4 linked regions of the Arabidopsis thaliana genome follow. The protein of the gene in region 2 interacts with the protein of the main gene of each other region in a pairwise test. Each region holds a gene or a part of one and is shown on either strand. Other genes may lie near its edges. The genes, in order: AT1G62330, AT1G01230, AT4G38690 and PLC2.

What was found.
Region 1: the proteins of AT1G01230 (region 2) and AT1G62330 interact in a protein complementation assay, tested with the Arabidopsis thaliana proteins (one large-scale study listed by BioGRID).
Region 3: the proteins of AT1G01230 (region 2) and AT4G38690 interact in a protein complementation assay, tested with the Arabidopsis thaliana proteins (one large-scale study listed by BioGRID).
Region 4: the proteins of AT1G01230 (region 2) and PLC2 interact in a protein complementation assay, tested with the Arabidopsis thaliana proteins (one large-scale study listed by BioGRID).

The regions. Positions count from the first base shown.
Region 1 is NC_003070.9:23,044,845-23,051,651, reverse strand, and holds AT1G62330 (O-fucosyltransferase family protein), read right to left. Parts: upstream 4,885-6,807; 5' UTR 4,688-4,884; coding exon 4,226-4,687; intron 3,831-4,225; coding exon 3,738-3,830; intron 3,656-3,737; coding exon 3,556-3,655; intron 3,463-3,555; coding exon 3,401-3,462; intron 3,310-3,400; coding exon 3,221-3,309; intron 3,113-3,220; coding exon 2,992-3,112; intron 2,903-2,991; coding exon 2,759-2,902; intron 2,685-2,758; coding exon 2,347-2,684; intron 2,258-2,346; coding exon 2,017-2,257; intron 1,908-2,016; coding exon 1,599-1,907; 3' UTR 1,315-1,598; downstream 1-1,314. Other genes in the region: ALE1 (PA-domain containing subtilase family protein), read left to right, coding at 1-5, 126-529; AT1G62333 (uncharacterized protein), read right to left, coding at 974-1,186; AT1G62320 (ERD (early-responsive to dehydration stress) family protein), read left to right, coding at 6,797-6,807.
Region 2 is NC_003070.9:95,137-100,272, forward strand, and holds AT1G01230 (ORMDL family protein), read left to right. Parts: upstream 1-2,275; 5' UTR 2,276-2,483; coding exon 2,484-2,669; intron 2,670-3,320; coding exon 3,321-3,469; intron 3,470-3,771; coding exon 3,772-3,910; 3' UTR 3,911-4,104; downstream 4,105-5,136. Other genes in the region: FKGP (L-fucokinase/GDP-L-fucose pyrophosphorylase), read left to right, coding at 24-416; AT1G01225 (NC domain-containing protein-like protein), read left to right, coding at 928-1,021, 1,418-2,106.
Region 3 is NC_003075.7:18,073,502-18,078,406, reverse strand, and holds AT4G38690 (PLC-like phosphodiesterases superfamily protein), read left to right. Parts: upstream 1-2,449; 5' UTR 2,450-2,707; coding exon 2,708-3,664; 3' UTR 3,665-4,087; downstream 4,088-4,905. Other genes in the region: AT4G38710 (glycine-rich protein), read left to right, coding at 56-266; AT4G38700 (Disease resistance-responsive (dirigent-like protein) family protein), read left to right, coding at 1,252-1,824.
Region 4 is NC_003074.8:2,581,140-2,587,807, reverse strand, and holds PLC2 (phospholipase C 2), read left to right. Parts: upstream 1-1,909; 5' UTR 1,910-2,251; coding exon 2,252-2,551; intron 2,552-3,059; coding exon 3,060-3,256; intron 3,257-3,344; coding exon 3,345-3,480; intron 3,481-3,566; coding exon 3,567-3,803; intron 3,804-3,883; coding exon 3,884-4,107; intron 4,108-4,195; coding exon 4,196-4,313; intron 4,314-4,456; coding exon 4,457-4,609; intron 4,610-4,691; coding exon 4,692-4,778; intron 4,779-4,888; coding exon 4,889-5,182; 3' UTR 5,183-5,446; downstream 5,447-6,668. Other genes in the region: AT3G08530 (Clathrin, heavy chain), read left to right, coding at 37-159, 273-383, 482-637; AT3G08520 (Ribosomal protein L41 family), read right to left, coding at 1,602-1,667, 1,765-1,776; AT3G08505 (zinc finger (CCCH-type/C3HC4-type RING finger) family protein), read left to right, coding at 5,765-5,775, 5,898-5,985, 6,063-6,668. UniProt on the Arabidopsis thaliana protein: The production of the second messenger molecules diacylglycerol (DAG) and inositol 1,4,5-trisphosphate (IP3) is mediated by activated phosphatidylinositol-specific phospholipase C enzymes.

The sequences.
Region 1 (6,807 bases), about 23 Mb from region 2:
CGCTGGTAAGTTTTTTACATATCATGGAAAGGAATTGATAAATTATACAAAGTTTGTGCTATTAATGTAGTAAAACAAAATCTTATAGGTAACTTTATAATATCATTTTTGGGGTATTGGACCAGGTTTTGAAGACTACATAAGTTTCTTGTGCTCACTGCCAAACATTAGCCCAGCCACTATCCGAGACGCGACAGGAGTCTTGTGTACCACTACGCTTAGCCACCCAGCGAACCTTAACCATCCGTCAGTAACTATATCTGCACTTAAAGAGTCACTTGTGGTGAGAAGAAGTTTCCAAGACGTCTCCAACAAGACTGAGACATATCTTGGTTCGGTTTTACCTCCCAATGGTACAACTGTACGGTTAACCCCAACTTGGTTTACCGTACCACCACAGAAAACTCAAGACCTAGACATCGAATTCAATGTCACACAAGTCTTAAACAAGTTTACATTTGGTGAAGTTGTTCTTACTGGAAGCTTAAACCATATTATAAGAATACCGTTGTCAGTTAAAACCATTTGAAAACATAAAATTTTATTGTTACTTGTCGATCTCACTTAAAATAAGGTCTTTATTCTTAAAAATTTCCAACGAAAAGGTTATTGACACTCCATCAAATAGGAACGGAGATAAGTTTTTTCATAAAATGAATGTATGGAATAAGGAAGAGTTATTTTTTTTATTTGTTCAGCGGCTCTCACATAAAACGTAAACAACAAACTAGTTATTATATTCTAAATTTTACATTACAAATACAAAATCAAATAAAGTGCAAGCGTGCTCCGTTTCAACCTACCACCCTGCGAAGGTTGAGATACATTCTAATTACACATATGAAGGATGATTACACAGATGAGCCTAATACACATGAAAGTGTTACACATATGAAATCTTTAAAGATCTAAGATGTTTCGACAATATATATTTCGAATTATATACTTAAATAGACCAAAACATTCATGACGACTAATATGGTGGTCTAGGAGGGCGTGGCCCAAGAAGTCCTGGAAACCAAGTAGCTCCGGGAAGTGGAGGTGGTGGATCAGGTCTGGGAGGAGGTGGAGGTGGTGGCTGAGGTCCTGGAGGAGGTGGAGGAGGGCGAGGCTCCGGAGGCGGTGGTCTTGGTGGCGGTGGATGGTGGAAAGGAGGAGGATGACGATGAGGAGGAGGATAAGGCATTTTGTGAATTGTTATTGCAATATCTGTCTTGTGTACTAACTTAGTTTATATATAACATCAAGATGAAGAATCATTGTTACCGACAAGTCTTTGAAGTGTAAAACAGTTACTCATTAAATAAGTGCTTAGTAGAATGGTAGTTATCCACCTAATCCTTCAAGCTAACTTTAATTCTTCTGGAAGGATTTCATACTTATGCATGTATAGAGAGATAAATTTCATACTTACCACCGGTTTACCAAACCCAATCTTAGTATTTCCAGCATCAAAATACCCCCAAAACCAAATACTAATAATACCATATTGGTACCAAACTCAAGCTTGGTACTCACTAGAATGTGTAGCCGCTACAAATGCCATGAAAAATATGAAGACCGTTTAAAAAACCGAACCAACAATGTAAACCAAATAATCAATCTTCATTACACATACATTCTTTACATCTTGGATAACGGTAAACGCTGCGTCCCGTCGGTCTAACCAATACATGTTTGGTTTGCCTAACCGTTTTTCTCACTCTCTGCTCGAACACTTTCCACTCTATAGTATTGTTCTTCAACAATATGTCTGAGAATCTCCGTTTGTTCGGTCTGATCGTCGGCATTTTCCCTGCTCCGTAATATATCCGATAACCCGAGACCAGAGACGACAATTGGCTCCCTGAATCCGTCATCGCAAAGGCGTCTGATGCAGCGCATGCAATGAAATCAAGAACCGCTAGCTACATAACCAGAAAGAAAAATATGCAATTCTTCGGTTTAGTTTAGCGGAGAAAGTTAACCGATAAACCGAAAAGGAAGTTTTGACGGGTTTTCTTGTTTTCATTTCACCTGAGATGAGAAGTTCTTGAAAGGCTCTAGCTCAGTTTGTGAGAGTACATTCTCTTTGGTGACTAGATTCGGGTAGAGACTCGTTAAAGCTGCTAACCGTTTATTCCCACCATATATATTCGCACCAGCGACGAAAACACGTGTCTTCCGACTAAAACCCAGACCCGCAAGCATAAGCACGGCTTCTTCAGGTGATAAAGGACAAAGTCCTTCTGTCCTCAGATCGTCTGGAGATGGCATTCTGCATAAGAGAAAACAAAAGGGCATTCAGTGAGATACCAAAACTGAAATAATAATGTGAAAAAGAGTTAAGAGAGGAAAGGAACAAACTTTTGCGTCTTTGTTAGATTTGCCAACGTCGGGAAATGCTTTTCCCGGTAAGCATCAAGCTCTGCCTTTTCCGCATCACCTCCTCCGAAGTAACAGAGAGAATGAGCCACCATATCAATTTCAAACCTGAGATGGACTGCTAGATACTTAGAAGCCTTATGGAGAGGACCTGCTTTCTTGTCCAATATGAATGACGCAAATTTTGGACCGACGAGATACGGGTCAACTGGTGCAAGGTGTGATCCACTATCTCGTAATCTCCTTACGAGTATCGCACCCGTTTCTTGTATCTTCGGAACGAAGTTTAGCGCATGAAAATTACATCTACACCGCAGCCTCTACTCCCCAAGAAAAAGTTGGATCATTACGGGTAATATATCGATATCCACGGTGCTAAAAGAAGGTTCTTTACCTGTAACTCAAACGGTATCGGGTCAAAGGCCAAACGGTTTCCGAATCCTAAGAAATGGACGACTCTGTTTTTGAGTAGAAGAGGAAGAATGTGCTTCATATAAAACCCGGGCTTGGCTTCTTTCATGACATCTATATCCGTAACCTTAAAAAACGACATAAAAGAGAACTACATTAGAAAAAATACGAAGATGAAATCGGTTTTTCACACTAAAAGCGGTGTAAGGAACTTACGACGCTGCCAATAGCCTCAAGATCTAGAGACTGAAGCTCTTTGGGTAGTTTCTTTACAATCCGGATATCAGGAGAAAGATACTTTATAAAGTGTTCCACCTGATAGATATCTCCAAACTGACTATGAAACATATATATACCATTCAAGAGTGTTAAAATTTGACGTTTTCAAGAAAGCATCAATTATAAGAGAAGGAGACAGAGAACGGAGGGACCTTACAATAGTTACCTTGCATCGGTCCAGACATCGCTGAACATAAATTTAGGAATAACGAGTGTCGCATTTAGCATCCGCGCAACAACAACGATGTTACAAACCTGTTTTAATAATGTCCCCGCGAAATCCAACGGTTAGTCAATATAAAGAGTGGGACATGACAAAGTAATGTGTAACGCAATCAAAACTTACAGCAACTCTCTGTTGGTTGATCCCACCATTTGCAGTTACCATTATATATCCATTTTTACCATCTAAACTCCACACACAAAAAAAAACACAAAAATCAGAAAAACTATACCTATATAGTACGAGAAATAAACTCATTGAGAGTAAGAGTAAGAGACCACTAGGCTTCCAGGAACGTTGATCAGCACAAGGCTTCCAAGCCAAAGCTTGGTCCTTTGGTTCTCTCCACAACTCTTTTGGTTCAAGCTTGTTTTGCCCCTAACGAACACAATGTCTCGGTCAGTAGGCTTTTCGGTTTCGGTTTAAGAATTCGAAATGTCGAAAGCGGAAAGGATAATACCTCAGCCAAAGCATGAGCAGCATAAGCCAACAATCTACCATATGTTCCATTATATGTCTTCTTTGGTTTTCCCATCTTTTTCTTCTCTTTATGCTACCAAATCATAAGTCACTCAACATCAAATGAAACTTCCATAACCATTAATCCAAATGCAAAAATCATGTAATATATAACATTACACTACATAAACTTACCATTTACTACAATAATTTCATACTTCACCTAGCAAAATCTCAAACATGTAAACTTTGTCTCCTAACCACAGCATTTTCACATTCTAACTAACAAATCTCAAACAGAGGATTTTATTTTTCTCTAACCAAATCTGTATTTGAAGTAATTGTATATTAGACAAAAAGTTTAAATTTTTACACAATTTAACCATTTGGGGATTTGAAATTGATTTGACAAGAAACAGACTGTTAAAAAGTTAAAGTTCACAGTAAACTGACTGACCAATCACATTATTAAATTTTTAACTAATTTACCTGTACATTCGCCGACACTTTAACGGATACCCGTTTCACACTCGAGTTCGGATCCGGGTTCAGTTTCGGTTTAAGATTCGTTTTTTTCGAGAATCCTCTCCGTAGCCAAGCTCGACCTTCATGGAGCTGAGAGAGCATAAACCAATTAACGAAAATGAAGAAACCAACAAGTACGATTACAAACGCGGCGGTTTTCGCCGTTCTGATTCGTTTCCTTTTTGCTCTCTTAACCGGATTTTTCAAATTCCGGTTTGGATCTCCGTTGATCCAAGACAAAACCGACCCGATACAATTCGACCCGGTGTTAAGAATCTTGTCTCCAGCTACTTCTGAAAAGCGGGTTGGACCGAGACGTGTCGGTGATTGAACCGGTGAAGCTCCTCCTCCTCCATGGATCAGATCTTGGACTCGAAGAACATCGCGAGTCTCTGGTTTCTCTTCGTCTGGTCTCTCAGAAGACATGGCTAAGCTCACACTCTCTCTCAGTTCTGTTCGATCGTGAGAGATAGATTTGCTGAATTTAACGAAGCTAGCGAAGAAAGAGCGAAGTGAGTGTTTTTTGCTCGAATTTCAGTGAGGATTTTTCTTCTTTGTCTGAACGTAATTATTAAAGTTTTTTTTAAACCTTGAGATTGACGCTGGTATTAATTTAAGGTCCCTGTCCTTTAAAATCATTTTAATCTTTACCTATTATTTTATCTAATACGAAATATAACCCTACGTATGTCCGTTGTGGTTTCAAAGTTATAAGAAATTGATCAAGTAGACTGTTCTTAGTAGTTGTTATCATTTCTTAGAATTAATAACATTTTGGTAAGACAGAATTAATAATTTTGTTGAGTATTTAAGATGAATAATAATTTTTCATTTAGCGATGTGTAAAGTTGGATTAGCTCCTACCAACTACGTAAATAATAAAATTGAAAACTAGTTTATTACTACTATCTACAGCTTGTTGAAGCTATATCTATGAAATTTGAATAATTTTTCATTGTGTTTCATAACATAAACAAGTAGCTAAACTAGCTGTCAAAAACAAAAATAGTTGCAAGCATGTGTTTGGTATATTGGGCTTTTTGTGTGGAGGGTTTCAAATACGCTTTCTGCATATCAGAGTAATATGATTTTAATTGGGGCCTAGACATCTGTTTTTGGTGTTATATTAATTAGACAAGAGTTAGAGAACTTATTAATTTCCTTTTGTCAGGCCTTTTTTTTTTGTTAAAGGAAATATAGCACATGCAGACACTTATTAACTTACTTTTTCAAGATAATTAAGTTAAGAATTTAAAATTGTATTTACAACCATTTTAATATATGTATATAGCAATTGATACAAATGTTTACTTTTTCGACATGGTACTAGTACTACACGTCTACAAGGACTAATATAATGAGAGTATTAAAAAACAATTGCAGTTTTGATGTAATCCCAGATAGTCTTAACGCACGTCCTTAGATAAATTTCTGTGACACTGATGAAAGGTGGTTATTAAAAAAAGAAAATGAAGAAAAATGTAGCTAGATTATTCACATTGATTTGGACGTAAGAAAAGTAATTCGTATTGGGAATAAAATAGACAAAAAGGTGATTTATACTGAAGAATATGATTATTAAAAAAAAACAAAAAAAATTATAGACTTCAACGTGATGGCACGGTATTTGCCTATTTTCATTATTTTCTTACTTGAGTAGTATTAGTAACAATTTAATTAAGCTAATTTCATGATTTTTTACTTTAGTCAACTATGAAGTCATTATCTTATTTTAGCAACAAAGTTATTATTTTAGTTATTTTAATCTAACTTTATCTCCAAAATAAGCATGGGTATATCTAAAACAAATAAGATAGATGTGTAATAATAATAAAAAGTTAGAGCTGGTTTAAGTTTAATTTAGGAATAAACCCAATTGGGACATTTTTTTGAAATGAAACTTTTTCAAGGAATAATAATAGTCTCTTGAGTTAGACGGCCGACCAACAACAACTAGATTCAAAGATTTTAAAAAGATCCAACTTTTTCATCATCTTCTTCTTCTTCTATTTCTCCGTGTATTTTCAGCGTTTTGTATCAACAAAAACGGCACGAAGTTTCTTTTCTTCTCTTCCCCATTTTTGTGCTGTTAACAGAACCAATCTCTCTGTTTTTTCCATACTCTGTTTTTTCTTCCCTCTCTCTGTTTCTGTTTTCAGAGGAAGGAGAAGAGAAAACTAAAGAAACTTGTGCAATACTTTTCCTTGAAGAAAATTTAAAGATTATATTCGAAGAAGCTTTTATACAAACCACACAAATCTCCACTTCACCAATATGATTTCTTGATTCATCTCATATTATTTTCTTCTTCAATCTGATCGCAAGAACATTGTGAAAAAAAAGAGTCAACGAAAGGGCCAAATTTTTTTGAGTAATGAGTTTCTAAAGGTGAGATTAGTATAAGCGTCTTTGACTATTATACAAATCTAAAACTTGATCTTTGTGTCTAAACTCTTATGACAATTTTTAGGGCTCTTATATATTTGCAGGTGAAGAAAGAATTTGTGAGGGTTTATTATAAATTAGTTTGAGGAGATGGCGACATT
Region 2 (5,136 bases):
TTATGCCTTTTTTATATAAACAGGTCAGGCTAGCTCATCAAGTCCTACACAAGGTCGTTACAAGGTATTTGCAAAGAGATAATCTCCTAATTTCAAGCATTAAGCGATTGACGGAGCTGGCGAAATCCGGTAGAGAAGCGTTGATGAACTGTGAAGTTGACGAGGTAGGCGACATAATGTCAGAAGCTTGGAGACTGCATCAAGAGCTGGATCCGTATTGCAGCAATGAGTTTGTGGATAAGCTTTTTGAGTTTTCGCAACCTTATAGCTCAGGATTCAAGCTGGTAGGTGCAGGTGGTGGTGGATTCTCACTTATATTGGCTAAGGACGCAGAGAAAGCCAAGGAGTTAAGACAGAGATTGGAAGAACATGCAGAGTTTGATGTCAAAGTTTACAACTGGAGCATCTGTATTTGAAAGATACATACAGTGTCAGTGTGTCATCATCTTGATTCTTGTAAATTGATATATTTTTTTGGGACCTTTGGAAAAAATAAAAGCAGAAGAATCTTTCAGATTTGCAATTAAAAACGATGTCGTGTGGTAAACAAAATCCTTTGCTTGACCAAGTCGTTCTCTTCTTGCTTCTGGTTGGTTTACTTCATAGTTCAACGACCACCAAGCTGTGAAGTGACCGTATTACCCCTGCCTGGAATCAAGGTCAAAAGGCCCCGGAAAATCAGTACGTTGGTAGCATTTGGATTTGGAGATAACGCCGTTAAAAGACTCTGTAACGGGTTTGCTCAACAGCTCTCTCTAGTTCGTTTATCGAATTAGATAATGCCACTCCAAAAAACGTTACTTTACCTTACCTATCTCGCTGACGTCAGATCCCACCGTTAGAGCTTACACTTGTAACGCCGTTTCCTGCATTTTCCACAAGCAAGGTAAAAAAAAGCTTTGTGCAGAGAGAGAGAGAAGAAGAAAAATGGGTTTGCTTACGAACAAGATTGAGAGAGAAGAGCTAAAGCCAGGAGATCACATCTATACTTACAGAGCAATCTTCGCTTATTCTCACCACGGTAACTTTAGATTCATTCTTCCCAAGTTTGCTCCTTTCTTTCTCGTTCATTCAATCATAACATCAAAAAGTGAAATTATCCTCAATGCAAGTCTTTTCTTTTAGTTTCTACTGGTCGGTTTAATCTTCTTATTGAAACTGTAAATTCACAAAGTTGACGACTTTATCTAGATAGATCTTGAAGACAATGGTCTATATTCCAATCTTTGCATGACCTAATTTCACCCTGGCTCTGTATTTTGATGTTATTCCATCATATCTTCTGATCTCTGATGGACTTTATAGATGATTTTTGTTTATTTGACATATTTTTATCCCAATTTCCTCTGGTGATGAAGAATTGATACTGTTGTAGACATTCCTTCATGGGCTTTGATTTGATTGTGGATTTTTGCAGGAATCTTTGTCGGTGGGTCCAAAGTTGTTCATTTCAGACCTGAACACAACCCCATGGATTCATCAACATCATCAATATCATCATCTTCCTCTGAAGATATCTGTTCCATATTTCCTGATTGCGGTTTCAGACAACCGGACAGTGGAGTAGTCCTTTCTTGCTTAGACTGTTTCCTCAAGAACGGCTCACTCTACTGCTTCGAATATGGAGTCAGTCCATCGGTTTTCCTAACCAAAGTCCGCGGAGGGACTTGCACAACCGCGCAATCTGATACAACTGATTCAGTCATCCACAGGGCAATGTACCTTCTCCAAAACGGATTTGGCAACTACGACATTTTCAAGAACAACTGTGAGGATTTCGCGCTCTATTGCAAGACCGGTTTGCTTATAATGGATAAGCTCGGTGTAGGGAGAAGCGGTCAAGCTTCTTCAATTGTTGGTGCTCCTTTGGCTGCACTCCTCTCTTCTCCTTTCAAATTGCTTATTCCAAGTCCCATTGGTGTGGCAACAGTTACTGCTGGTATGTACTGTATGAGTCGCTATGCTACCGATATTGGTGTTAGAAGCGACGTCATTAAGGTCTCAGTTGAGGATTTGGCTCTCAACCTTGACGTAAAGACCATTGAGCAAGGTGAAGAAGAAGAAGAAGACGAAGAAGAAGATTCTGATACCGACTATGTTAGGTGACAAACAGATACCTATCACCTTTGTTCACGAATTTCGATATACATAAGAAAACATTTCAGTTAGAATCCTCATGTTGGTTTTATGTTCCCTTTATTGCATTTGTTGGCCTATTTTCTGTCTGTACAAAATGAAAACGCAGACGTTTTGGTTTGGGTAATGTCAAAAATATCCCAATAATTAATTAATGCCCAGTGTAGATGCAAAAAAGCAGTCGTCGTCTTTCACGGGCACACAAAATTAAACCAAAGAAACAAACAATCCTTGTTCTCGCCGAAATAGAGAATTTTGTGAATCTGGGTTTTTAGTTCAGGTGTTAATATAAGATTTTGATCAAAAGAAGACGAGATTCGATCCGATCCGATCTGATTGAAGAAGAAATGGCGAATCTGTATGTGAAAGCGGTTCCACCACCGGATATGAATAGGAATACGGAATGGTTCATGTATCCAGGAGTTTGGACGACTTACATGCTTATTCTCTTCTTCGGTTGGCTCGTTGTTCTCTCTGTCTCTGGTTGTTCCCCTGGAATGGCTTGGACTGTTGTTAATCTCGCTCACTTCGTTGTAAGTCTTCGATTGTGTTTATGCTTTAGAGATGATTTTTTCACTTAGGGTTGTGACTTTAAATTAGATGATGGATTGATTCCTTGTTTTTTTTTTATTTCCTGAGATCTGGATGTGAATCTGGCTCTAGTGTTTGAATTGATCTCTTTGGTTATTAGCAATTTTTTAGTTGGTTTAGGGTTCGAATGAAGAGGCAATTACCTTCTGATTGATCAGTTTTAGCTATCGTATATCGTTGAGCTTGGATCAGGCTTCGAATTAGGATACAGTTACCTTCTTATCAATGAATTGATCAGTTTTGGTATCAGCGATTTTGAATTGATCTGTTTGGATACTATCAGCAGTGTTGACTGTTGAGTTGATCAGGCTTTTAAGTAAGATGCAATTCTCTTCTAAGTTTGAATTGATCGGTTTTGGATCAGGCTTCGAATTAAGATGCACCTTCTCGTTAATGAATTATCAGTTTTTGATATCAGAAACTAAAACTACCTATGGCATCAATGCAATTTCTTAAGGTCTAACTGTTTGATATAATGCGGTGACTTGTAAATTGGCATTGCTTGATTGTCAAAACCAAATTTAATCTAATTTCTAATTACTCTTTAGGAAAATGTGATGTCTGAGTAGAAATTTGTGGATATTTGTTGTCAGGTAACGTATCACAGCTTCCACTGGATGAAAGGAACTCCTTTTGCAGATGACCAAGGAATCTACAATGGTTTAACTTGGTGGGAACAAATGGACAATGGTCAACAGCTTACCCGCAACCGCAAATTTCTTACCCTAGTTCCTGTTGTTCTGTAAGTCCCAGCACCTTGTTCCTCAAAATCTCACCACTCTTGTCTATTTCCAATCTATATTTTCTTAGCAAATTATTTTCTTTAGCTGCATATATCCTTGTGTCTCATATGGTTAATAAATATGCTAATTTCTCAATACACATATCTAAATCCGGTGATGTGTAACGGACTAGTTCTAGAGAACTCTGTATACGCGATAATGTGTATAAACAAGAGCTGCATTTATCTGGATGAACTTTTAAGATTGAGCTCTTTAGCTTTTGTACTTGTTTTCTGACTTTATAACGACACATTTAAAACAGGTACTTGATTGCATCGCATACAACAGATTACAGACATCCATGGCTGTTCCTCAACACACTCGCTGTGATGGTTCTCGTTGTTGCCAAGTTCCCCAACATGCACAAGGTACGCATCTTTGGTATCAATGGTGATAAATAAGTTTCCTTTACGGCAAGAGAACACCTGAAAGAAGGAAAAGGGGATATAAGCGAACATATATATGTGTAAATGTTCATATGAGTTGGTTTAATTCTCGAGTCATGTTTTTTGTTGGATATTTGTAAGTAAACTCTCTAATTTTGAAGCTTTCATCTTTTACCTTTTATAATAGACACGAAAAAGCTTTCCCTTCATCTCCCCACTTCACTTCAGATAATGGGCCTAATAGCAATATGGGCTTGAACAATAATTGAATTTAACAATGGCCCAAAGATTCCTGTCGTGGTGACTCATGAGTTATCATAACACCAGAATGTTTTCGATTGAGCGTAATGATTCAGTGGGATCTAAAGAACACGTGGCTGCCTACAAGATCTCTAACAGCTGGTTAATGACACGTGTCATAGTTAAAGTCCACCTGGATGGATATTATATCATGGTGTACGTATACAAAATAGTTAATCCCTCTTCAAAATTGAATAAAGCTAACAAAAGTAATCAATTAACGTGATTAAAAAAAAAAAGAGAATGCTAATTGGACCCCGAAAACATGATATATCCTGCAAAATTAAAGCCGACAAAACGAAAGAATGACTAATTAAAGTTGGAATAAGACTAATGATTTTTTTTTTTTTTTTTCTTATTGTGGTCCAATGTAAGAAAATAAATAAAAACATCTTATCCATTAAATCGAAAGTAGGGTCCATATCGTAATAGCCGTCGATTCTCTCTTTAGCCAACACGTGTTGTCAATCCAGCTGTTTCAGATGCTTACCAAGCCAAACAAGTTATTGAAACTGTGTCGTTTTGTGTCCCTAACTCGGAAGCTTTTACGGAAGAAACTGTAAATTTGGTTCCATGGGGCCAGAGAGTGTGAGAAACGAAAATTAAAAAAAAAGAGAAGAAAAGCCAAAAGCTTCGGTCGCGCAAGATCGCTTCATTTGTTTCTAGAGTGATTCATGGATTCTTTAAACTACTAATAATGGTATCTTTAGTTGTTACTTCGTTTTCTGATCTATTTTACAAATCTTACTCTTTTGCTCTGTTTTCGTGGTTTTGTTTAGATAAAAGTCTCTGTTCTTCTAGTTTCTTCCATCAGACTGTTTTCTCATGGATCAGTGATGATTTTTGTTTCCTGGGTCAACTTCTGATTTTGGAATTTCTGAAAATTTTGGTAAATTTACTCGATCCCATTGCGAAATCTTACGCATGATCTTTGTAGTTTG
Region 3 (4,905 bases), on a different chromosome or scaffold from region 2:
AAATTTTGTAAGCATGTTTCTTACTCTTAAATTATTTTGTCTTTGAACATTGAAGCACGGAGCATTCTGAGGAGGATGCTCAAGAGGAGGAACCAGCTGTAGAAGGGGCAAAGAAGGAAGAGACTGAGGACAAACCGGCTGTAGAAGAGGCTAAGAAGGAAGAAACTGAGGGTGAACAGGCTGTAGAAGAGGCTAAGAAGGAAGAGACTGGTGGCGAACCGGCTGTAGAAGAGGCAAAGAAGGAAGAGACGGAGGACAAAATCTAAAGAGTCAAAAGGCATTTTTGTGGATTGTGATAGTTTGGGTTCTTGAAGTTTAGCTTCTGAGAATTTGTGTTGTTTAATTTGGATAAGTTAAGTTGTGTGGGGGAACTCTAGAGAAAATTTTGGTAGGGTCTTTTTTTTTATAATATCTCTCTGTCTCTTTTTTTTACCACATACTCTGTTGCAATTTTTAGGGTTTTGGGGTGTCTTTTATTTTTTACGAGTTGTACAATTTCATTATTGGTTTAAATCTGTCTTTGAATTTGGGAGCGTTTAGTTGATCAGTGATCAATGGTGCGTAGAGAGAGTGATGTTTGTTATTAAGAGCCCAATTGGCCCAACTTAACCCGACCCAGTATCAGATCTGGCCCGTATTCTATAATCTTCTTGATCGGTGCAGTCCACTTAAGATATATGTGGTGAGGAATAAATCCAACCTGTACAAACACACAGAATGTAGTGGGACGGGGAATATGATAATACCACGCGCTTTAGAGCTGGGAATATATTAAAATTGATCAAAAATAGGCATTTTGGCTGGACTATATAGCTTACCCATTTTGATAACACGCGCTCAACGCTCCTAAGGTGCGCGTGGTACATATCCTTACCTCGAATAAAGTTTATGCTAGTTATTTGGCAGAATCTCAAAGCTTTTTAGAATCATAATTTTCTAAAATAATTAAATCTCTTTACATGTTTTCAAAGTTGTCAAACACTATTACAATTTTGAACATATCATCAATATCAGACAGAAAATTTTCAAAGTTAATACCTGGATCATATGCATTTACTATTTTCTTTTTGTTATATAGAAAAATATCAAATAGATTTTCTAAATAATGACATATACCCTCTTTTTATAGGAGAAAATCTTTTTCCTGTAAACATTCCTAAAATTACAAGTGATCAAACTATATATATATATATATGTTCTAGATTCATTTGGATAGTAAACTTTCATATCAATTCCTTAAGTTTATAAATTATGAAGAGCACATTAATAATATTTTTCACACTCTGTTTGAGCATGGCCGTTATGGCGCGTCACGAATCCTACTATGGCAACACCAAACCGGCTAAACTGAATGAGGAGAAAGTGACACGTGTCAGATTTTATCTCCATGATACTCTCAGTGGCCAAAATCCTACCGCCGTTAGAATCGCACATGCAAATCTAACCGGTGGCTCAGCTTCGCCGGTAGGTTTTGGAAGCCTGTTTGTGATAGACGATCCGCTCACCGTCGGGCCGGAGAAACACTCGAAAGAGATCGGGAATGGTCAAGGGATGTATGTCTCCGGGTGCAAAGACTTGAGCAAATTCACGATCGTCATGTACGCTGATTTGGCTTTCACGGCAGGGAAGTTTAATGGAAGCTCGATCAGTATCTTCTCGAGGAATCCGGTGGCGGAAGAGGTCGGAGAGCGAGAAATCGCGATTGTTGGTGGCCGTGGGAAATTCAGAATGGCGAGAGGTTTTGTCAAAGTAAAAACAAATAAGATTGACATGAAGACTGGTGATGCTGTTCTCCGATATGATGCTACTGTTTATCATTATTAACCGATTCATATGTTCCGATTAAAACAATAAAAAGGCCAACTAAATCAATTATTCAGATCAAAACTGAATTTTGCATGATCAAGAGATCAAAATTGATTAATTATGTTGCAATCTTTCTTCTCAATTCCCAAAATCTATACTAGTAATCTCTTTTACATATCTTAGTTGTGTGGATCGTGATATTTGAGATAGTCTTACAAAAGACATGATAGGGCCTGTGAGTGTATATGATTGGTTTTCCATCGGATCCTATCCGAATTTTATCCAAAATATTAATTATCGATGCCTTGTTTAAATTTTAGGAACGACTTTTATTTCATAGAAAATTTGAATATGTGTCTTCCAAGAAATAAAAATCACGTTGTATTGATATCTTTCACGTCGGAAAATAGCCAGGCATTAGAAATTGACAAATAACAAACAGTGAAGACAGCTATACAACAAAAATGGACCTACCATACATTGTAAACCCACTCTCCCATCAATTACAACTCAACCACTCTTTCAATATATCTCAACTAATCAATCAGTTCACATTTATAACACTAAAATGTTCCCACAATAAAAATTGTAACAGTTAATCTTACATATTAAACGCTACTACTTTTTTTCTATGGTTTTTGTTAAGTTAAAAGTTGAAAGTTACTTCTAATTTGCGAATATGTCAACGGTGTTTTGAGAAAGTAGCGTAATTATTAAAAGATTAACGTATAATTCGTAACTTCTTCAAACCAATAATAAGTAAATAAAAAACAATCATAACGACTTATGAGTAAAGGTTTATTGATAAAGAAGGCATGGAACATTTTATAAACAAGAGAGAACAGAATTCAATATAGTGATCAGAGAAGAGAGAGCAAAGGGAAAGGGTTAATCCTCAGCAATGGGCTCTCACCTTTCCAAACAACTCGAGCGGCGAAAAGCCATCTCCACGGAGAAGAAAGCCCTCACCGATCTCGAGAAATCGTGCGGCTGCGAGTTTCCGGGGTGTGATTACATGCCTTCCGATCGTAAAAACTGGATGGCCGGCGTTGGACCTGAAAAGCTTCACATCAACAAGATCGTCTGGCCTGGGACGCACGACTCTGCCACCAACAAAATCGGTATCCGATTCGTGTCTCGTCCCTTTGCTAAGTGCCAATCTCTCTCCATCTATAACCAGCTCGTGGCGGGTACTCGAGTCCTTGACATTCGTGTCCAAGAAGATCGCCGTGTATGCCACGGTATCCTCAAGACTTATAGTGTCGACGTTGTCTTGGCCGATCTCAAACGGTTTCTATCCGAAACAGAGTCGGAGATTGTCATTCTTGAGATCAGAACAGAGTTTGGACACGAAGACCCACCGGAGTTTGATAAGTATCTTGTGGAACAGCTTGGAGAGCATCTGATTCACCAGGACGATCACGTGTTCTCCAAGACAGTCGCTGAGCTGCTTCCCAAGAGAGTGATCTGCGTTTGGAAACCGAGGAAATCGCCTCAGCCTAAGCATGGTGATCCTCTTTGGAGCGCTGGTTACCTTAAAGACAATTGGATCGATACAGATCTTCCATCGACCAAATTCGAGAGCAACATCAAGCATTTGAGCCAGCAGCAACCAGCTACTTCAAGGAAATTCTTTTACCGGGTGGAGAACACAGTGACGCCGCAGCCCGATAACCCAATAATGTGTGTAAAACCGGTGACTAAGAGGATACATTGCTACGCCAAGGTATTCATCATAGAGTGTGTAAAAAGAGGATGTGCTGATAAACTGCAGATATTCTCAACTGATTTCATAGATAATGAATTTGTTGATGCTTGCGTTGGGCTCACCTTTGCGAGAGCTGAAGGTAAGGCCTGAGGAATGAGCGTGTGGAGACAGACTTTGTGTATCTATTTTGAAGGAAAAGAATCAGAACATGGTTGATGTGTTTTAGGGTTGCTTGTGTATAAGAGAACATGTGAGTGTGTATTTGTATGTGTGTGTGATTTACGAGTGTATATTCCAATTCATTACAACTTATTTGAATCCTGATACAATTGCGAGATATCCAAACTCTTCATTACTATTAATTTCTGATACTTTTGCAGATGTTGTAGTTGATAGACAGGCAAAACAGAAGGAAGAAGTATACAGTTGATGGTAAAATCTAGTTTTAACAAGTGAAAGAGAGCTGCTAACCTGAGAGATGACTATATTTCTGCAGCAATGCCCCTTTTTATTACACACTACTGTGATCTTCAAGAACAAAAAGATAATAGAATCAGTTATGCTAGAATTCATATCAGTAGCTAATGACACAATGCATCTCTATAATTTCATTATTTGATTATATCTATAAACTGAGATGATGGAAACATGGTGCAAAATCCTAATAATTTGAGATTAGATTTCTTCTCAAGACTTGAAACACAAAAGAAGAAGAAGAAGAGCATTTGATCCACAAGAGTGATTGAGCCGAGCCAAATTATTCTCCCTGCTGAGATCGGCAGCGAGACCACTCTTCTAGACTCTAGACATGGGATGCAGAGAAACCAACTTTTTTTATTTAAACGGCTGCGTTTTAAGTCATGTTCTCAAATGATACCAGTTTTTTTTTTTTTTTTTTTTTTGCTAAGCACAAGTTTGATTTGTTGTTTGGCACTTTACGATAACATCATTTTACTCCTATACTTTCTCACGGTAAGTGATTAAGATAAAAACATGCACATTTTTCGAATTATAAGCTAAATTTAAAGGGATCTATTTTCTATCTCTCAATAATTTTTAAATTTTACTCATTTTCTATTTCTCTTATAAATTAATTACTTGGTAATTTAGTTTTGTAATCGATACTCAAAAATCGATATCCAACAAAGGACAATCTCTTTGCGGTCAATAGTCTTCTCAAATTACTTCATACAATTATCATACTGTTTGGTAAAATTTGTGAATCTGCCTCATAAAATGTACGTGGAAAGTGGAACAACAGTTAATGCTTATTTTGACCACAAGATTGAGAAAATTTTGAAAAGAGTATATTGACCAGTTGCTGACGTTGCATGTCATTCTTTAATGTTGTTGTTGACTGCAACAAAAAATAAAATACAACATACAAAGTA
Region 4 (6,668 bases), on a different chromosome or scaffold from region 2:
TGAACGTAGTATCCCGTGTCTTCTGCTGTTATACAGGGCAAAAAGGAATGCTTTGCTACATGTCTCTTTGTATGTTATGACTTAATCCGACCAGACGTGGCTCTAGAACTTGCCTGGATCAACAATATGATGGACTTTGCCTTCCCGTATCTCCTCCAGGTGATCTATCCTAACCCTCAAATAAACTCTTTTGATTCTCTGCTCAATGAGGTTGGAACCATTATTTGAACGCTATGATGAATTCTCTTCTTCCTGTCGTTTTTTCTTTGCAGTTTATCCGAGAGTACTCTGGCAAAGTGGATGAGCTAATAAAGGACAAGCTTGAGGCACAAAAAGAGGTGAAGGCCAAAGAGCAGGAAGAGAAGGATGTCATATCCCAACAGGTACTACTTATGACACAGCTACACTGGATATCATCCGACTCTTTATCTTGACAGATACACTTAAAGGAGTAATATGTTTTTCTTTTGTTTTTAAACAGAACATGTATGCCCAAATGTTGCCACTTGCTTTACCTGCACCACCGATGCCAGGAATGGGAGGTGGTGGTGGGTATGGTCCTCCACCACAAATGGGCGGTATGCCAGGAATGCCTCCCATGCCACCATATGGAATGCCACCGATGGGCGGCTACTAAAGCAGACCAGCTTATGCTTTAATATCCGCATTTGGAAAAGTATCAGTAGCGCATAGAGTCGGCCCAATTTGCTAGGGCGGTGTTCATCTGCTAGCTAGCTTATATGTCTGACCAGAATTTGTCTGGGAATAATGTGGATAATAACCTCCTTTCGTTGTAATATTCTGTTGGGTTTAGGTGAGTAATTTTTTTTTAACTTTTTGTCAAAAGCCATTTTTGAGTATATATACTCAACTCTCTTACTCATATGAGTTTTGTAGTTGTACTTTCCTTCAGCATTTCATTCCATTCGACTTTCGATTTATTAAACCGTTGATCAGTTTCACCTTGTTGTTATTCATATATGAAACAATTAATATCGAGAAGGACTAAATAAATCCTTCATGAGAATTTGGTTGACCTCAGAACAATCATCATCATTCATCAGCATCAGAAAGACATAGATGCAACGTGAATCTCATTTTCATGAAATAATAATGAAATCTTAGGGTAGGTTTATTTCACATGTACACATAAAAACCTAAGTACCAATAGTCATCTGAACATCATGAACTAAAAATTGCATCCCTCCGTAAACACACATTTCTGCTACATTACTAAGAAAACGTTCTGGATAGAAAGATTCAATCAACCCAACATACTTTGTTTTTATTAGTATACTTAGATGACATACAAATTCACTTGGTATTTCTAATATCAAAAGTTCAACCTTCACCAGGATAAAACTCATCCAGCGCAGACACTAACTATAGATAATCAATTAAACCAAAATGATAAGCAGATTGAAGAACTTTAAGGAGAATCAGTAACTCATAAGGATCATTCCATGTAATAAACATAATTCTAATAGAAAACATAGATTCGATTTGGTCCAACAAAACATTCAAATTGAAAATTGCAAAACCAACAAAACTCACATAAGAGTTGGTTCTAAAAAGAAGAAAGACAAAACAAACTCCCGAATCTACTTAGATCGCTGTCTCATCTTTCGTCTCTTCCTCTTCAATCTCCTCATACGCTTCTTCTTCCACTGCAACACACAAACACACAAACCATAAAGATCCTACACACTACTTCAATTTCTCATCACTAAAAAATCCATTAAACAATCAAAACCCATTACTAACCTTGGCTCTCATGCTGATTTCGCAGAAGCTGTCTCCTTCGTTCCTCTGATTATTTGTTTAGCTTTACAGGATGAGGAGCGGCGGAGATGAATAGAAAGATTTTGTAGCTTACGCTCTTATTCCTCCTTTAAACAACAACAAAACCCTAGTAACTAACTTAATGGGCTTTATTATTTCAAAAGCCCAATAAAACCCAAATGGATAAGAATTTGCCAGAGGGGATATTCGCACAGAGAGAGAAAGAAGATCTTTTTCCGACAAGGTTCAAGATCGATTAAACATTACATGGAGGAGATTCACTAGAAAGAAAGGAAAAAAATCTCTTTGTCTTTGCAGATGCGACACGCAAAACGACGATTCTGATCTCGCTTGTCTGATTTCAAAAACAATGAGAAGATAGTTCTGATTATATAACACACAAACCCTACTTCATTCCTTCATCATCGTCTCCAATCATTACCCAAAGATCCGTCTTTTTCTTTACTTCATGTCGAAGCAAACGTACAAAGTGTGTTTCTGCTTTCGCCGGAGGTTTCGTTACACTGCATCGGAGGCACCGCGTGAGATCAAGACCATTTTCGAAAAGTACTCAGAGAATGGAGTTATGACCGTTGATCATCTCCACAGGTTTCTGATCGATGTTCAGAAACAAGATAAAGCCACCAGAGAAGATGCACAGTCAATTATCAATTCTGCATCTTCTCTTCTTCATCGTAATGGTCTCCATCTTGATGCTTTCTTCAAGTACCTCTTTGGTGATAATAACCCTCCTCTTGCTCTCCATAAGGTAATTTTCGTGTTATTTCGATTTTATGAGTTCAGAATCTGAAGTAAACTATGATTGATTGATATAAGAAACTCAGATTTTGGATTGGGATTTTTCGTTTTCCTTGTTTGGTAATTGAGGAAATGGTGTGAGGAAGTGAGATTTTTGGAATAATTTGTTTGAATGTTTCACTGAGTCTAATCAAGAGTTCGAACTTCGAAGCTGCTGTTTGGTAGAAAGTCGTAGGAGCTATGTACTTTTTAGGTGTTGTGGAATAAGTCTGATTCAAGAATTTGAAGCAATAGAATTGTTTTTCTTTTTATGTCTCAAAAAAAAAAAAAAAGTTGAGAAAGTAACATATCTAGGAATGTGACATTTACTCTATTAGGAACTCTGACACAAAAATCCATGATACAAGTAATTAATATTTTTACAATTCCGGCTATACATGTAATTGTGACTCAATTGTGCTAGCTTTTATTTTCAGATTGATTATAGACTTATCTCTAATGAATTTGTGGTGTTTCAGGTGCATCATGACATGGATGCTCCTATATCGCATTATTTCATATTCACTGGTCATAATTCTTATCTGACTGGTAATCAGCTGAGCAGTGACTGTAGTGAGGTACCTATTATTGATGCGTTGAAGAAAGGTGTTAGAGTCATTGAATTGGATATATGGCCCAATTCCAACAAAGACGATATTGATGTTCTTCACGGAATGTATAATTTTGCTTCAAATTTATTTCGAAAAACAAGTCAAGGTTAGGTGCTTGGCGTTTAACTTGTTTACTGAACCATTCTTAAACAGGACTCTCACTACACCTGTGGGGTTGATCAAATGTCTCAAAGCTATCAGAGCACATGCCTTTGATGTATCTGACTATCCTGTTGTTGTAACTCTTGAAGATCATCTTACTCCAGATCTTCAGTCTAAAGTTGCTGAGGTAGCTTTTTATTTTGCATTTCTTTCTTTGCTGCTTTAATAGATGAGTACATTGGTTTTGAGATGTGTTTTCTTGTTGTATGATAGATGGTTACTGAGATATTTGGGGAAATTCTGTTTACTCCTCCTGTGGGAGAATCTTTGAAGGAGTTCCCATCGCCAAACTCTTTAAAAAGACGTATTATCATCTCAACCAAACCCCCAAAAGAGTACAAGGAAGGAAAAGATGTGGAAGTGGTGCAGAAAGGTAAAGACTTGGGGGATGAAGAAGTTTGGGGAAGAGAAGTTCCGAGCTTTATTCAGAGGAACAAAAGTGAAGCTAAGGTGTGTACGAAGACAAATCATTTTCATTCTGTTCTGTTGCTGTTCATGGACAAACATGTTAGTTTTCTTTCTTGTTGCAGGATGACTTAGATGGAAATGATGATGATGACGATGATGATGATGAAGACAAGTCTAAGATTAATGCACCACCCCAGTATAAACATTTGATTGCAATCCATGCTGGGAAACCAAAAGGCGGAATTACTGAGTGTTTAAAGGTAGATCCTGACAAGGTTAGACGCCTTAGCTTAAGCGAAGAACAACTTGAAAAGGCAGCAGAAAAATATGCGAAGCAGATTGTGAGGTATAGTCATATTATGTTTTTATGTTTCTAAGTAATAGTTGCAGTTTGTCAACTCAATATGAATCCTGTTAATCATGGTGTGGCGCAGGTTTACTCAGCACAATTTGCTGAGGATATACCCAAAAGGAACTAGAGTCACATCATCAAATTACAACCCGTTGGTTGGCTGGAGCCACGGTGCTCAAATGGTGGCTTTCAATATGCAGGTATCTCCTTCTGCTATATTACCAACTTCTTTCTACGTAGTAGTAAAACTTCTAGTTATTTTGGAGGAGCTATGTTCCATCATTTTACAGGACATCAACCTTATTCCTCAGCTGATTTGATTGTGATCTTTTTCCATGTACAGGGGTATGGAAGATCATTGTGGCTAATGCAGGGAATGTTTAGAGCCAATGGCGGATGTGGCTACATCAAGAAACCTGACCTTCTGCTGAAAAGTGGTTCGGATAGTGACATATTTGACCCAAAAGCTACTCTACCTGTGAAAACAACACTTAGGGTGAGATATCTGATTCTCTGGTTGGTCTTTCTTTTACCAATTCAAATCCGATCAAACTCAGTGAACTTATTCTTTCCCTTAGGTAACTGTATACATGGGAGAAGGCTGGTACTTTGATTTCCGCCACACACACTTTGACCAATATTCACCGCCTGACTTCTATACAAGGGTCAATTTTTGATTCCCTGCCTTAAACCTCACACAAATGTTTTGAGATAGAACTGTTTCTTGTCTCTTATGCTTGCAATATAACAATTTGAGCTTTTGATGCATATTCAGGTTGGGATAGCTGGAGTTCCAGGGGATACAGTAATGAAGAAGACGAAAACACTGGAGGATAATTGGATACCAGCTTGGGATGAGGTGTTTGAGTTCCCATTAACCGTTCCAGAGCTGGCCCTGCTACGATTAGAAGTGCATGAGTATGACATGTCAGAGAAAGATGATTTTGGAGGACAGACATGCTTACCGGTTTGGGAGCTAAGCGAAGGAATAAGAGCATTTCCTTTACATAGCCGGAAAGGAGAGAAGTACAAATCCGTTAAGCTTCTCGTGAAGGTGGAGTTTGTGTGAGACATGATTAAGAAAGATACAGCATTTAAACTTGTCTGGTAGGTTTGAGTGCCACAGAGTTTGTGAATTTGGAGGATTTGTATGTGTGAGAGAGAATGTATGCTTGATTTGTTGTTTGTAATATTATGTACATAAAAGACGAAAGTGAGAGAGAGAGAGACGGTCTTGTATCGTGTGTTGTTGTATTATTATGTAGTAGTCTCGTGTAACACTTGAATCGTATGATGATTTGTGGTTTTTGTGTAACAAGTGTGTTTTAAAACTTGTTTGATTCCATTCCACCAAGAAGGCTTCAAAGAATTTTCTTATGTATCACATAAAACTGATCGAATTTCCATAAACATAACCAATCACACCCCATAAAACAAAATTGGCCAAAAAGAAAAGAGAAAGGATATTTTAGTAAATGAAAGAGAGAGGTGGTGGTGGAGGTGGAGGAAGCGCGCTCTATCTCAAAAACGTTGGGGTCTGCTTGGTCCTCAACAATTGAAAACCGTACAAATTCAATTTCTTCACATAAAGCTCTCTCTTCCTTCTCCATTCTTCCACCCTTTTTTTTCTTCTCTCCGCACAAATCCCCAAATGTCCGATAGGTATCGTAATCCCCCAACTTCTCGATTCATCAAACTCTTCAATTTTGTGTCTCTTTGATTGGTGATAAAGATTGATTCTTTCGTTTCTGGGGACGATGATTCATTTGATTTCTTTTTTGTAGGATACTGTGCAAGTTCTTTGTCCATGGCTCGTGCTTGAAAGGCGAAAATTGCGAATTTTCCCATGACTCTAAGGATCCGCCCAATAATGTAATCTAATCTCTTCTCAAGTTTCCTTCTTTTGATTCATCAGTCCCAAATATTTGACTCTTGGTTGTATAAATTAGGTTTGCACATTCTATCAGAAACGAATATGTTTGTACGGAAGTAGATGTAGATACGATCATGTCAGAGCTGCTTCCAATCTTCCTCTTAGCTCAGATTCTGAGTCTTTAGATCGCTCTATATCCACCACCCCCTCTAGGCATTTGCAACAACAAGGCGATAATAATGACGGTGACAAATCCTCTAACGTTTACTGTATCCACCCTAGAGAGTACCCGATCTGCTCTTTTGCTGCAGCTGGTGATTGCCCTCGAGGTAACCAGTGTCCACATATGCATGGTGACCTCTGCAATACTTGTGGCAAGAAGTGTTTGCATCCTTTTAGACCCGAGGAACGAGAAGAGCATACGAAAGAATGTGAGAAGAAGCAGAAGCACATTGAGGCTTTGAAACAAAGTCAAGATATTGAGTGTAGTGTGTGTTTGGATCGTATCTTGTCAAAGGCTACTCCAGGGGAAAGGAAGTTTGGGCTGTTGACTGAGTGTGATCATCCGTTTTGTATACAATGTATTCGTAATTGGCGTAGCAGTGCTCCTGTTTCGGGAATGGATGTCAACAGTACGTTGAGAGCTTGTCCTATATGTCGCAAACTCTCTTATTTTGTTGTC